Cricetulus griseus: one gene and its partners. The protein of the gene in region 1 binds, or shares a complex with, the protein of each later gene. Links are inferred from orthologs where the notes say so. Each region holds a gene or a part of one and is shown on either strand. Other genes may lie near its edges.

The links. The genes of interacting proteins can lie anywhere in the genome.
Region 2: the proteins of Ngfr (region 1) and Ripk2 are in contact, whole or in part, in an NMR structure (PDB 2N83), measured with the Homo sapiens proteins. The link is inferred for Cricetulus griseus from reciprocal best matches to the Homo sapiens genes NGFR and RIPK2. Residues at the interface, in NP_002498.1 of Homo sapiens: Gly334, Leu335, Ser338, Leu339, Pro340, Lys343, Val347, Ser354, Ala355, Asp357, Arg360, His361, Gly364, Glu365, Tyr368, Pro370, Ile373, Asp374, Leu398, Asp399, Leu401, Leu402, Arg406, Arg407, Ile408, Gln409, Arg410, Ala411, Asp412, Val414; in NP_003812.1 of Homo sapiens: Gln437, Ser465, Arg466, Asp467, Leu468, Met470, Glu472, Asp495, Ile496, Gln497, Gly498, Glu499, Glu500, Lys503, Ile523, Leu524, Val526, Ser527, Arg528, Ser529, Pro530, Ser531, Leu532, Asn533, Leu534, Gln536.
Region 3: the proteins of Ngfr (region 1) and Arhgdia are in contact, whole or in part, in an NMR structure (PDB 8X8T), measured with the Homo sapiens proteins. The link is inferred for Cricetulus griseus from reciprocal best matches to the Homo sapiens genes NGFR and ARHGDIA. Residues at the interface, in NP_002498.1 of Homo sapiens: Arg274, Trp275, Ser277, Cys278, Lys279, Gln280, Lys282, Gln283, Gly284, Ala285, Ser287, Arg288, Pro289, Val290, Asn291, Gln292, Thr293, Pro294, Pro295, Pro296, Glu299, Lys300, Leu301, Ile307, Ser308, Val309, Gln312, Ser313, Asp316, Gln317; in NP_001172006.1 of Homo sapiens: Ala8, Glu9, Leu11, Ala12, Gln13, Ile14, Ala15, Ala16, Glu17, Asn18, Glu19, Glu20, Asp21, Glu22, Val25, Pro30, Ala31, Gln32, Lys33, Ile35, Gln36, Glu37, Ile38, Gln39, Glu40, Leu41, Asp42, Lys43, Asp44, Asp45.

The regions. Positions count from the first base shown.
Region 1 is NC_048600.1:108,751,888-108,756,048, reverse strand, and holds the start of Ngfr (tumor necrosis factor receptor superfamily member 16), read left to right. Parts: upstream 1-1,357; coding exon 1,358-1,436; intron 1,437-4,161. UniProt on the Homo sapiens protein: Low affinity receptor which can bind to NGF, BDNF, NTF3, and NTF4. Forms a heterodimeric receptor with SORCS2 that binds the precursor forms of NGF, BDNF and NTF3 with high affinity, and has much lower affinity for mature NGF and BDNF.
Region 2 is NC_048595.1:130,017,806-130,021,813, forward strand, and holds the start of Ripk2 (receptor-interacting serine/threonine-protein kinase 2), read right to left. Parts: upstream 2,808-4,008; 5' UTR 2,654-2,807; coding exon 2,481-2,653; intron 1-2,480.
Region 3 is NC_048600.1:133,068,173-133,072,260, forward strand, and holds Arhgdia (rho GDP-dissociation inhibitor 1), read right to left. Parts: upstream 2,808-4,088; 5' UTR 2,673-2,807; intron 2,109-2,672; exon of another isoform or gene 1,960-2,108; intron 1,453-1,959; 5' UTR 1,431-1,452; coding exon 1,241-1,430; intron 1,124-1,240; coding exon 1,040-1,123; intron 820-1,039; coding exon 743-819; intron 657-742; coding exon 593-656; intron 502-592; coding exon 302-501; 3' UTR 217-301; downstream 1-216. UniProt on the Homo sapiens protein: Controls Rho proteins homeostasis. Regulates the GDP/GTP exchange reaction of the Rho proteins by inhibiting the dissociation of GDP from them, and the subsequent binding of GTP to them.

The DNA.
Region 1 (4,161 bases):
ATCTGATGTGCCCAGTTTCCAAAACATGACAGGTTCTGTCCTCAGAACGCCTACACAGTACATGGATGGCATGAATCTCTGAAGGATGAGTCCACTTTCCCATTGAAGCCCCTCCTCAGAGCAATACTGAACACCTACTATAGCGTATATTCAGAGAAGACACTACTGGCCCTGCCTTAGGAAGCTCAGAAGCCCAGGTAATTGTGTTTGTGTATGGTTTGTACACTCATGAATGGGTGTGCACTTGAGTGCTCAATACCTATGAGGGCTTGTTTGAGTATGACCGTGCACTGCACACATGTGACTTTGGGGCGGGTGTATGTGAATGTGTGTAGATGTATGTCTGATCTGTATTAGGGACCGTTGTAGGATGGCTCGGTTTCTACGAATGCCTGAGGATGGTATGGCCCATGTGATCGCATGAGCACACGTACAGGGGAGCTTGAGAGTGCTTTTGTGTAGTCCTGGGGTTTATGTGCACATCTGTGACTCCTCCCAGCTCATGATAGGATGTCTGCATGGCATGTGTGAGGTCCTAGGTTCAATCGTGTGTGTGTGTGTGTGTGTGTGTGTGTGTGTGTGTGTGTGTGAGAGAGAGAGAGAGAGAGAGAGAGAGAGAGAGAGAGAGAGACAGACAGACAGACAGACACAGAGACAGAGAGACAGAGACAGAGAGACAGAGAGACAGAGAGAGAGAGCAAATTATGACACTGGGATAGATTCCACCTTGAATGTCCCAAGGAACACCTCACTCCACAAGTGAGAAGCTGTAGACAGTATGGAATAGGTGTAGACCTAATCATGAAAGAAGGGCAGCTGCATTCCCGGAATGAGGGGTAGGTAGGGAACTAGGAACCCAGGGGCTGAAGAAGATATTTTAGAGAGTGAACCCTAAGGCAGACCTCATCAGTAGGAGAGCAATGCTCCCCACTCCCCCCCCACCCCGCCGCCCCGCTGGATCCAGAGCATCCTACGCTGATGCTCAGCGTAACCGGCAGTGCACTGGGCATGTGGGACAGACAGACCGCGGAGAAGCCGCAGCGGGGCACACGGGCGGGCGCGGCTCCCCGCACGCCTTCCTTGGCTGCTCCGGACTCCCCACCTCGAAGCGGCCTGGCGGCCGGGCGGGCGCGGTTCCGGAGGGGTGGGGTGGGGGGTTGGGCGGGCTGGGCGGGAGGAGGCGGGGCTGCTGCACTGCCTTTACCCAGCTGCGCCCGCCTGCCCGTAGCCAGAGCGAGCGTAGCCTCCGCCAGCTCCGGCGGGCAGCGGGCGCTGGAGCTTAGCGCAGCTCAGCGCAGCCCATCGGCCCGCAGAGCGGACTGAGCTAGAAGCGAAGCGCTGTCGCCAGAGGCAAGCGATGAGGGCAGGTGCTGCCTGCAGCGCCATGGACCAGTCGCGCCTGCTGCTGCTGCTGCTGCTGCTAGGGGTAAGTGGTAGCAGGAGGGACGCCTGTTAACCTTTTCCAGGAACCGAACCCCAAGGGGATCCCAGTGCCACCACCCAGGAAACAGAATAGGACATCAAGGTCCCAGATGCTGGGAACCGGTGGCGGAGGAGCTGCGATACCGTGATCCACAGGGGCGCTTCTAGCTCTTGGGACTTTCAGAGAGCAGAGGAGACCCAGTCCCAGAATAGAGATGCGGACAGGACCGTGGCACCGATGCTGGTCCTTGGTGCTGCTGCTGCTACTGGTCTTTGGGTACTGCGCTGGGGACGGTGTAGGGGACTGGGGGGGGGGTCTCTCGGGAGGAGGTTTAGGAATCACGGGCGCCTGGGTTCTTTTGACGACGGCGTGTGAATTCTGGGATCCCGAGAGGACTTTTCCCTTTTCCATCTTAGTCCTTGGGGAGTTGTAGGACAGAACCGAGGAGAGAAAGGAGGGGGATGAGAGCAGCGCTAGAGATGTGAGGGGCTAGCGAAGGAACAATGGGGGAGGCGCTGGGCTGGAGGGACTGGAGGCAGAGGGGACCCGGCACGGACAATGGGGACCGGCCAGACAATGGGGGGGAGGGGCGTCTAAAGGAGCGATTCGGGAGTGGCAGAGAGGTTGAAGAGCTAGAAGTGGGTTTAAAGGAGGGCAGAAAAAAGACTGCCACTAAAGAGGTAGAGAGATAGAAAGCGGTGCGTATCCTAAAGTGCTCGGGGCCCCGCCTGCCTACTCAAGGGCAGTGGGACAAGGACGGCCGAGACACAGACGTTTCCCGCGTGGGTTCTAGCGCTCTTTCTCGCGGCCTCGCCCAGTCCGGGAATTGCATCTGGGCATCCCAGGCTGGGAAGGGAGCGCTCACTTCACTGGGGCAAATCCGCTGCCGGAGTGGATCCCTGGCAAGCCTTTTCTCGCGGTTTGGAACAACACGGTGGACCCGGAGAGACAGAGCCGGCAGCCCCCTACCCTATCTGACGCCGGGATGCGGAGCGCTGGGACGCTCCAGGCGGCGACTGTTGCTCGGGGAATGCACAAACCCCAGGCGACCCGCAGGGGGCACTGCGGGGTGCGGGACGGCTGTTCACAGCTGCGTGCGCGCCTGGGGCTGCGCACTGCGCCCCTTCTAAGTTAAGCAACCCCCGGGCCCGGTGCCATTTGCGCTCCTTCCTGTCCAGATCTTAATAGGGTCATCATCACGCACACATCTGGCTAGGCTTCGATAAAAGTCAATGAACCCTTCTCCAATGCGACAGGGGTCGCTTGGATGCCTGGGATTCTGTCGGATTGTTGTTCAGAGGCACCAATTCCAGCTAGGTCGTCAGATCTTGCTAAGAACCCGAGGACTCTGGGTACTTCTGATCAGATCTTAAGAAAGGTTGGCAATGGAAGTGGCGCCACCCTCCACCTTTTTCTTCCTCTGAGCACTGTGCCCCCAAAACTCTATTTTACTGACAAGGGAGGCGTGTAAACAAGTTGGCCAAGACCTCACAAGCAAGTTGGGCCAGAGTTCTGTGGCTGGATGCCCCCCCCACTTCACTCCAGCTCTGTGGCTCTCTCTACTCAAGGGTGCAGCTGTGGGCGGTCAACTTCGTTTCACAGCAGGGATGGGGGTGGCACCATCCCAAGGATAGGCAGAGGTGGGCTATGGAAGCAGAGGATGGAGAACCTATTCAAACTCGGATCCCAACCTCAAAGTTCAAACCTGGTTCCCTGGAGCTGTCAGTACCTGTGGCTTCCTCCGGGGTTTTGGGAGTGGCTGCAAGGGTGTTTGCTGACTAACGTCCCTGGTTAGAGATGCCTCGGGAGCTGTGTGGTGCTCATCCTGGAGAGGTGAGGGCGTGGCCTCTGGACCTGGGCAGGAGGATATCCCTGAGTTCAGAAAAGGCGAGCAAGGGAGGAGAGCTGGGCCTTGAGGCCTTAGCAAGGTGAACCGGGCACAGAATCTTCGGGCCTGAGCCCCCGGGACTCTACTTTTCACCTCCACCCCAGATTGTTCGGTGCGAGCCAGTTCAGCGGTCCGAGCCTCTTCCTGCGCCGCTGAGAGAGTACTGAAACCAGAGCGCGTCCCGGCGAGTCTGCTGGCGGGCCGAGCCGGTAATGGAGGCACTTTGTCATTCAGACGTCTGTAACCGGAGCCTCCGGGCTGGCTAATGCTCCTAATAGGGATGCAGCAGCGTAGGCAGTAAATGGGCAGCGTGAGCGTCGGGGCTGGCGTGGAGGGTGGATGGTGAGGCGGCTCCCGAGGGAAAAGCCTCCACCCTACCTGGTCAGCCCCTTCTGGTTCCAACACCTGGCTTCCTCCCTAGGGGATGAATTGGAAGAGAGGATATAGGCTATAATAACTTTTGTGAAGTGCCTACTCTGTGACCTGCACTGTCCCTAAGTACTTTTACTGTATATACGTACTCCTTAGGTCCCAGAAAGGTAAATTTAGTTATTCCCATTTTACAGGTGAGGAAGCTGACCCCCAGGAAACTTAGGCGGGACACCTGGCTCCCCCAGTCGAAAAGCAGAGGTGGCCTGTAGGAAGCTGGGGAGTCAAGGCTTTGGTCTTTCCTCCTCATGCGCAGTTCCTTTTCAGCTTCCCTTCCACTTACAGATCATGAAAGGGGGTGTGGTCCTGAACTGCCACTGACTGGGTGGGTTAGACTCTGCCCTGTGCCTCTGAGCTGAGCCACTCCCCTGCTCCAAGTGAGCAGAGCCCTAGCTTCTCTTCAAGTCTCCACAAGGCAGCT
Region 2 (4,008 bases), on another chromosome or scaffold:
ATATAAGATCCCCTTTCCTCCTCCTGTCCACAGTATGAAACAAGGGGTTGGAAGACAGTACAGCTGGTGAAGTGGTTGTTACACAAACAGGAGGATCTGAGTTTGATTCCTCAGAATCCACATAAAAAAGTCGACAACAATAAAACACTCTGAAACACTAACCTGCCCCTGAGATAAATGGTGGTCCTGAGGAACAATACCTGAAGTTGACCCCTGGCTTCCTTATCATGCACATGGACCAGTACGTACAACATGTGTGTATACACGAACACAAACACACATGCGCACACACATGAAAAAGTCTGATGTATTCTTCCTTCCTGTCAGCCACTTTATAAACACTAACTGTTCAATTGCCTCTCTAAAGCTGGCTCCATTACCTCCACTTTACATACAGGGACACCCAGAGTCGGAGAAATAAATGATCCTCTGGTGACCACAACCAAACAAAGCAACAGGATTAAAGTCAGATTCAAATTGTAGTCCTGGTACTCTAAGGTCTGTGTTTTTCCTAGTCTGTTGTTTGACCAGGAAAGCAAGTTGGACAGTTTATAAGGTTAGATTTCAACAAGACTAAGGGGGGAAATAAAACTAAAAGATTAAAAAAAGCTAAAAATGTAAAAGACAGTTTCAATGATTATATCACCAAAATTACCCAACTCAAAATTTCAATAGGAAACAGTTACCCCATCTCTAAGGTACCAAGTGGAGTCATCTATCCATTAAGGTAGGAAGTCTGCTATGTTAGGCCCACTCATTGGCTACAGAGAATGACTCATTAATCATTAAAATAATATGCCACGTCACAAAAATTTATTTTCCTCTCAGGTCATCTTAAAGAACAATGGGCACTTTATCTATACTAGATAGAGCACAACAAATATACGTACGTACGTGTTTATAATTCATATTTTATAAGTGAGGAAATAAGACACCCAAGTCAATTGCATAAGCCTACGCTTATGCACTTGTTAAGATCTTAGGCAACAAGAGAAAAGAATGAAATGCAGTAAGGTCACAGGATTTTGTTGGTCTTAGAAAGATAATTTTTTATCCAATTCAATGAAATTATACGATGATGTGGTTGGTGAAAATGGGAAAGCATCACCATCTTTGTCGCTTGGCCCACAAAAAGCATAACACTTTTGTAAATAAAAACCTTGGAAAGCAGAATCCAAAGTGAGAAATCACTTTGGTATACTCAATGGTCTACTAGTGCTACATATCCACAGAATATTTGTTTAATTGGCTTCTAGCCAGCCTCCCTTTAAAGTCGATCCCAGACAAACACACTTTACCCAGCACTAGCTCCACCGACTATAAGGCCCAGTATCTGAATCTGGATCATGGTACACAGAAAGTTTTAGTGTTCCAAACTTCAATGTGATCTAGCCCATGGTGGGGGGATAAAAGCTACTACAGGCAGATGAAAGTCCAATATTCTAGCTGGGCTGAAGACAAGAGAGGTCTCTGATGCTGGATATGACCTTACACCAGACATTAACAGCCTCTGGCCAATGGGGCCGCTATGAATTTTGTATTTTCACTCAAGATGCAGGAGAAGAGAACGTTGCAACTACGGATGTTAGTGCATTAAGAACTGAATGAATTCCGGAAGGAAAACACACAAGAGTACTGACCAGACTCTTTGACTAACACGTACAGTCACAGATCCATGGTATTTAGTTGCAATGTTTCCCGGAAACAGAAACCAAGGCTATTTTTTTTTCCTGATGTGGAAACTGGACTCAAATAATATCAGAATGTGAGGCAATCACATTTTTTTATATTCACAAATTTTGACCATTTAACAATCTTTGATTTCAATTTACTGTTACAAAAAAAAGCACACACTTCCTTTGAGGACTTCCAAAGTAAGAGCTCGAATAACAATGGCTAATGTAGAGTTTGATATCTGAACTTCATGACTGCATGTAATAAGCCACAAACAAGATAAAACCAATCTGATCAAAGCAAAACATGCAGGCTCTGGAGTAGCACTGATAAATATGGAGTGAAACACACATACAACCCTAGAAAATATTTTCACATGTAGTTAATATAAAAACACTGGTACATTTTTTAGTACTAAATATTCAAAATCTGGTGTGTATTTTGCACTCACTACATATTTCATTTCCAAAGCCCAGTTTCATGAGTTCCACGGCTCTTGTGGCTAACAGCTAGCTAAAAATAGAGCTAAGCCCACATGCACTGTACCAACACACGTCGGGTTCAATAAACAGGCTTTTAGAGGTGGCCGTGATTGCATGTTTTTGGAGGAGAGAGCGGACACCTCGGATGGGAGGAGAGGCGAGTTGGAAACTCTGACGCACGTCCAGGGCAGTTTCTCCCTTGGACCAAGATAGCCCCAGGGATAAGAACTGGCAGCTGCGGGGAGCTGGCGCATCACGGTCAGTGTGGCCGGACTGTGGCCGTGCGGGCCCGCGTCTGCGTGGGGCCCCGCGGCTGCACCCTACCTGTCGAGCAACGGCGTGTGGATGTGCAGGTGCTTCACGGCCACTCGCACGCGCCAATCCGCGTGGCGTGCCGACGACACGGTGCCCGAGGCGCCGCGGCTGAGGTAGTGCAGATCGGCGAGCTTGTGGTAGGGGATGGGAGGCAGTGCGCTGCAGATGGCGTCCCCGTTCATGGCTCTAGCTGAGCGGCGGCTCCGCTAGATCCTGGCGGTGGCCGGTGCAGTGCGGCGTCAGGTCGCCGGGCGGCCCATTCCCGCGTGGCCGCTGCAGTTCCGGCCGGGCGACTGTCCCTGGGAGTCCGTCCGTCTGCGGCCGCGCCAGGGAGGACCTTTCTCCGCACTCCTCCTCCTTCCGCGCTCCTCCCTCCGCGGACCCCTCCCTCCCCTGCTTCTCTTTCTGCGGTTTCCTCCCTCCACCCATCTCCTCAGCCTACTTCTTCTACCCGCGGCCCCTCCCTCCTCAGACTCCTCCTTCCGCAGACTCCTCTCTCCGCAGACTCCTCCTTTCGCTTCTCCCTCCTCAGGTTCCTCCCTCCGCAGGTTCCTCTCTCCGCAGGCTCCTCCCTCTGCAGGCGGCTCCCTCTGCAGGCTCCTCTCTCCGTAGGCGCCTGCTTCTTTTGGCTTTCTCCTCAGGCTCCTCTCTCTGCAGGCTCCTCCCCCTGCAGGCCCCTCCCTCCATCCCTCCCTCTGCAGGCTCCTCCCTCTGTCCACTCCTCTCTCCGTAGGCTCCTCCCTCCGCAGGCTCCTCCCTCTGCAGGCTCCTCCCTCAGCAGGCTCCTGGGTAACGTCAGCAGAGTGGGGGACTCAGCTCCCCCTCCCTCTCAGCCCTGTGGCTCTGCTCAGGCCTGGAGCACTTTTCCTCTGGGGAAAGTCCCTGCAGTGGCGTCCACGCCGGATTTTCCTTTGGCCTGGTGTCTGCCTTAGTCTCCAAACCCCAGAAGTGATGGGGTGGGGGTGACTCCTGCTGGGGAGCTCGGTGACATCTATATCGTCCCACTTCCTGAGCGATAACCATCTGCTGGCACTCGGTGACTACCACTTCAGGAGTGAGGTGGAGAGGTAAGCACTGTCACAGTGTGACAAATTGAGGTGTTTAGCCCCTGTGACATGCTCCTCTACCAGGAAACTTGCTGTTTTTATTCTCCAAAGCCTACGGACAAATTGAAAAACCACCATTTCTTGTGTTTGGGAAGGCTGCTATCTAAAACAAAAACAAAACAAAACACTCCAAAATAACAACAAAACCCCACACAAACAAAAAAGACTACCAAAACCCAATCACTATTCCATCTTTTTACTTAAAACACCTTTCTACTTAGATGACTGTTCAGTGGGATGTTTGGCACAAATTTAGTACCTCATATTTGTGTGCCATTTAGTTCTGTAATCCTATCCCTACCTGGATACTAAACTCTGTAATTGTGTCCCTTTTATGAATAGTGTAAAATATATATATCATCCACACATTCTTTCCTAAACTTTAGTTCTTCATAGTTTTACAAGTCTACAGTTTAGAAGTATGTGTTCTT
Region 3 (4,088 bases), about 24 Mb from region 1:
TTCCATTCCATTCTAGAAGCCAGGGCCTGAGGAAGGGACGACAGAGGAAACCTGGGGGACACAGCAGATTGGAGGCCTGGGCTGAAACCCCTCCCCCACTGCACAGGCAGAAGCAGCAATGTGACAACACTGGAGACCACAGGGGCCTGCAGGCAGGAGGTGGAGGAGGGGCAGACAGAAGAGGGGAGGAATGGTGAGGGAGGGTCCTGTCAGCACTTTGGTTTGGGGTGGGTAGGGGTTGGGGGTGGGGCATGTCGGTCCTTCTGTCTGTCCGCCGCCCTGCCCGCCTCCCAGCTGGAGCTCAGTCCTTCCACTCCTTTTTGATGGTGAGGTTCCATTCCCAGGACAGGTGGTCCGTCTTGTCATCGTCTGTGAATCGGGACTTGATGTTGTAGCTGCCCCGAGCGAGCATGCCTTTGGGGGCCTCTTCCATGGGTGTCAGGAACTCATACTCCTCAGCCCGGGGCCCATAGCTCCCGACCATGTAGTCGGTCTTGTCGACTGTGGTGTGGACAGGAAAGGCATGGTTAGTGGCCACGCAAGCCCCTCCCGGGACCCACAGGCTTCCCACTCTATCGGTACGACCACTTACTTTTGACCCCTTTCCTGTATGTGTGCTGGATGTACTTCATGCCTGACACGATCTCTCTGTTCACCTGTGGGGACACAGAGCAAGGGTCAGCCGGCCCCCCAGTGCTGATGCTCTGCCCCTCTGCCAGGCCTCTCCAATCCTCCACCTTACCCGGAAAGAGATTTTTATCCGGTACTCCACACCTTCCTTCAACACAAACGACTGTTTCTTGAAGCTCTCCAGATCACCTGTATGGGGAGGAGGCACAGCCAATTGCCTGGAGGCTTTCCATCCTGCCCCCACGTTCCCTTTCCACAGCCCCTTCCGTGACACAAAGCAGGGCCTTGGAGAGCACCTAGCTGCACTTTCCCCCCTGCCCCACCAGAGGGCACCAGTGCAGAAAATTATTTTTAGGGGCAGCGGCTGGATGCCAGCTGGCCCCACCCAGGGACTCCAAAACCCACTCACCTGTCAGGTCCAGTTCCAGAGGGCCCGGGGACGTGCTGCACACCAAGGTCAGGCGGGTCACAATGACATTGGGGACATTGGGGTCTGGAGAGCAAGAGTCATGAATCAAGAGCTCCATTCCTTAGATTTTTTTTAACTCCCTGGAAGGAGGGGGGCAGACTGGAAAGGGGGTGGTGACAGGGTCAGGTGACATCCACCTACCTGCAGAGACAGCCACTCGGCCCAGCAGGGCCTCCTTATACTTTCGAAGGCTCTCATCATCCTTGTCCAGTTCCTGGATCTCCTGGATGCTCTTCTGGGCTGGGGGCTTGTAGTTGACAGAGTGCTCATCCTCCTCATTCTCGGCCGCGATCTGCGCAAGCTGCTCAGCGGTGGGCTCCTGTTCTGCCATGCTCACCTCTAACCTGGGATACCTGTGGGTGGGCAGCGAGCAGAGCGGTGACAGCCCGGAGGCATTGCAACCTAGAGGGACCCTGACACCTGCCGGGAAATGATGGAGGTAGCCACGCCAGGGCAACTTTTAGAGGAGATAGGAGGCGCTGCCACTGCCCAACTAACTCAAGAGGCTCGTTTGAGAGGGCTACACCCCAGGCACACCATGAAGCCACAAAATGGGGACCACAGCCCGTTCCTCAGAGAAGCAGAACAGCTTTCCTCCCCATGAAGAATGAGTAGCCTCCTGACCAAACGGAACTGGGAGAAGCAACGTTAAACCACGTGGGTCCTGCTGCTGCCCCTAGATGCCCGGGATCTAACCCAAAGACACTCTCACTGGGTCACGGGGAGAAGTTCTCTGAAACGGGGATGCTCTGTGTCCTAGCCACGTGCAGGACAAGGGTCTGTTCCTTCCTGCCGGTGGAATACCGTCCTAAGCTCAACTGCGTGGCGACCAAATGAGACGGTAAATATGCAAGCCCGACCTCCCTTGTGAGGGGTCCGCGAACGCAGAGTGGGAGCTGGTGCACCGGTTGCAAAATAAATCTCAGGAGCCCATTGCTGGACCCTGGTCCTAAAGCGTCTGTGGCGGTGCGGAACCACGCCGGGACGGAAGCGCCTCGGTGCCTTTCAGTTCCGCAGATCCCCACCCGTCCCCCAGACACCCACTCGAGCCCTGCAGGCGATGCGCGGCGGTCGGGGCAGCCGCCGCCCCTCTGGGAGGCGTGCGCCAGAGACTCGGGGGGAGCGCCGGCCCGACACCCGGAGGGTCCCGGAGGCCCCGCCCGACGCGGCCAAGCGTGGCCGCGGGCGACAGCATCCAGGGCGCGGCCCGCGCTTCCGCAGGGCCCGCAATCCGGGAGGGCGGGGGGGGCCGCGCGGCGGGAGCGGCAGGCCGGGCGGGCCCCAGGCCGGACCCCGCCCGCGCGGCCGGGAAAGGGCGCCCCCGCCCCCGACCCGCACCGGGACCCGGACCCGGGACCGGGACGCGGCGCCCAGGCCCGGGCAGCGGCGGCGCTTCGGGCAGGACCTAGAAGGCGCCCGGCCCGCCCGCTGCCGTGACCGCGCCCGCCGCCCGCGCTCGCCCGGGGCCCGCCGCACGCCCGCCCGCCCGCCGGCCCGCGAGCGCCGGGGTCGCCGCACAAAGCCAGCCCCCTCCCCTCGCGCGCCGCCCCGCGCCAGGCAGCGCGCCACTCACCGGAGGCTCGACCGTCGCTCTCGCGCTCCCTCCCGCACCAAGTGACGAACGTCGTCCGCCGCCCGCCGCCCGGACGGTCACTTCCGGGGTCACAAGACTTCCGCTCTCGCGGGCGTGCGGGCGGGGGGCGCCGTGCGCATGCGCCGGCAGGGGGCGCCGGTCGGCGCCGCCGCCATTTTGCGGCCGGCCTCGTGGGCGCGTCGCGCGTGGGCCGGCGGCGTCGCGCGGGGCATCGAGGGGCGTCCGCGGCGCGTGTGGGCCGAGGCCCGGGCCCTTGGGCTCCGGGGCGGCCGCTCTGCCGCCCGGGTTCCGCGGCCGCCGCGCCCGGGCCTCGTCCCCCATTGTCCCTGCAACGCAGAGATGGCAGCGCCGCACGCACGCACGCACGCACGCACGCTCGCGCCGCCGGGCGCGTGGCTTCGCGGGCCGTGGCCCTCTGGGGTCCCCACGAGTTCCCCTCGCCGCGCCCCGCGGGGCCGGCTCACCCCGAGACGGGCAGGAGCCTCCGCAGGGACGAGAGCCAGCACCGCTGCCGCCCTGGGCGTCCGCCACCGCGCTGAAAAGATGACTGGAGGGAAACAGTCGCCCGCCGTTCATCCGCCACGTTTACGGCCTCGTTACGTCACGCGAGCACTTGTTCCCCTGGCCACGCATCCCCAACTCTGAAGCAAGCCAGGTGTCCTTTCAAGCGTAACCGTTTCATGCACTGTTTTCTTCGTCCGAGGAAGATGGCTCCGCAGTGTCCTCTCCCTGCTGCTCAGTGGCAAACTACTGCAAAACCAAACGCTGTCACCACTTGACTGTCCCCACTCTTCCTCTGTGATGGAGTCCGCTTGCCACACACGCACGCACACCACACACAGACACACACAGACACGCACACCACACACACGCACGCACACCACACACAGACAGACACACACACACAGAGACACACACACAGACACACACGCACACACCACACACACAGAGACACACGCACACACGCACAGACATGCACGCACACCACACACACACACAGACACACACACACACAGAGACACACACACAGACACACACACACAGACAGAGACACACACACACAGAGACACACACACAGACACACACGCACGCACACACACACCACACACACACCCTCACAGAGACACACACGCACACACGCACAGACATGCACGCACACCACACACAGACACACACACACACACACACACAGACATGCACGCACACCACACACACACACACAGACACACACACAGAGACACACGCACAGACATGCACGCACACCACACACACAGACACACACACACACAGAGACACACACGCACAGACATGCACGCACACCACACACAGACACACACACACAGACACACACAGACACACACACAGAGACACACACAGAGAGACACACGCACGCAA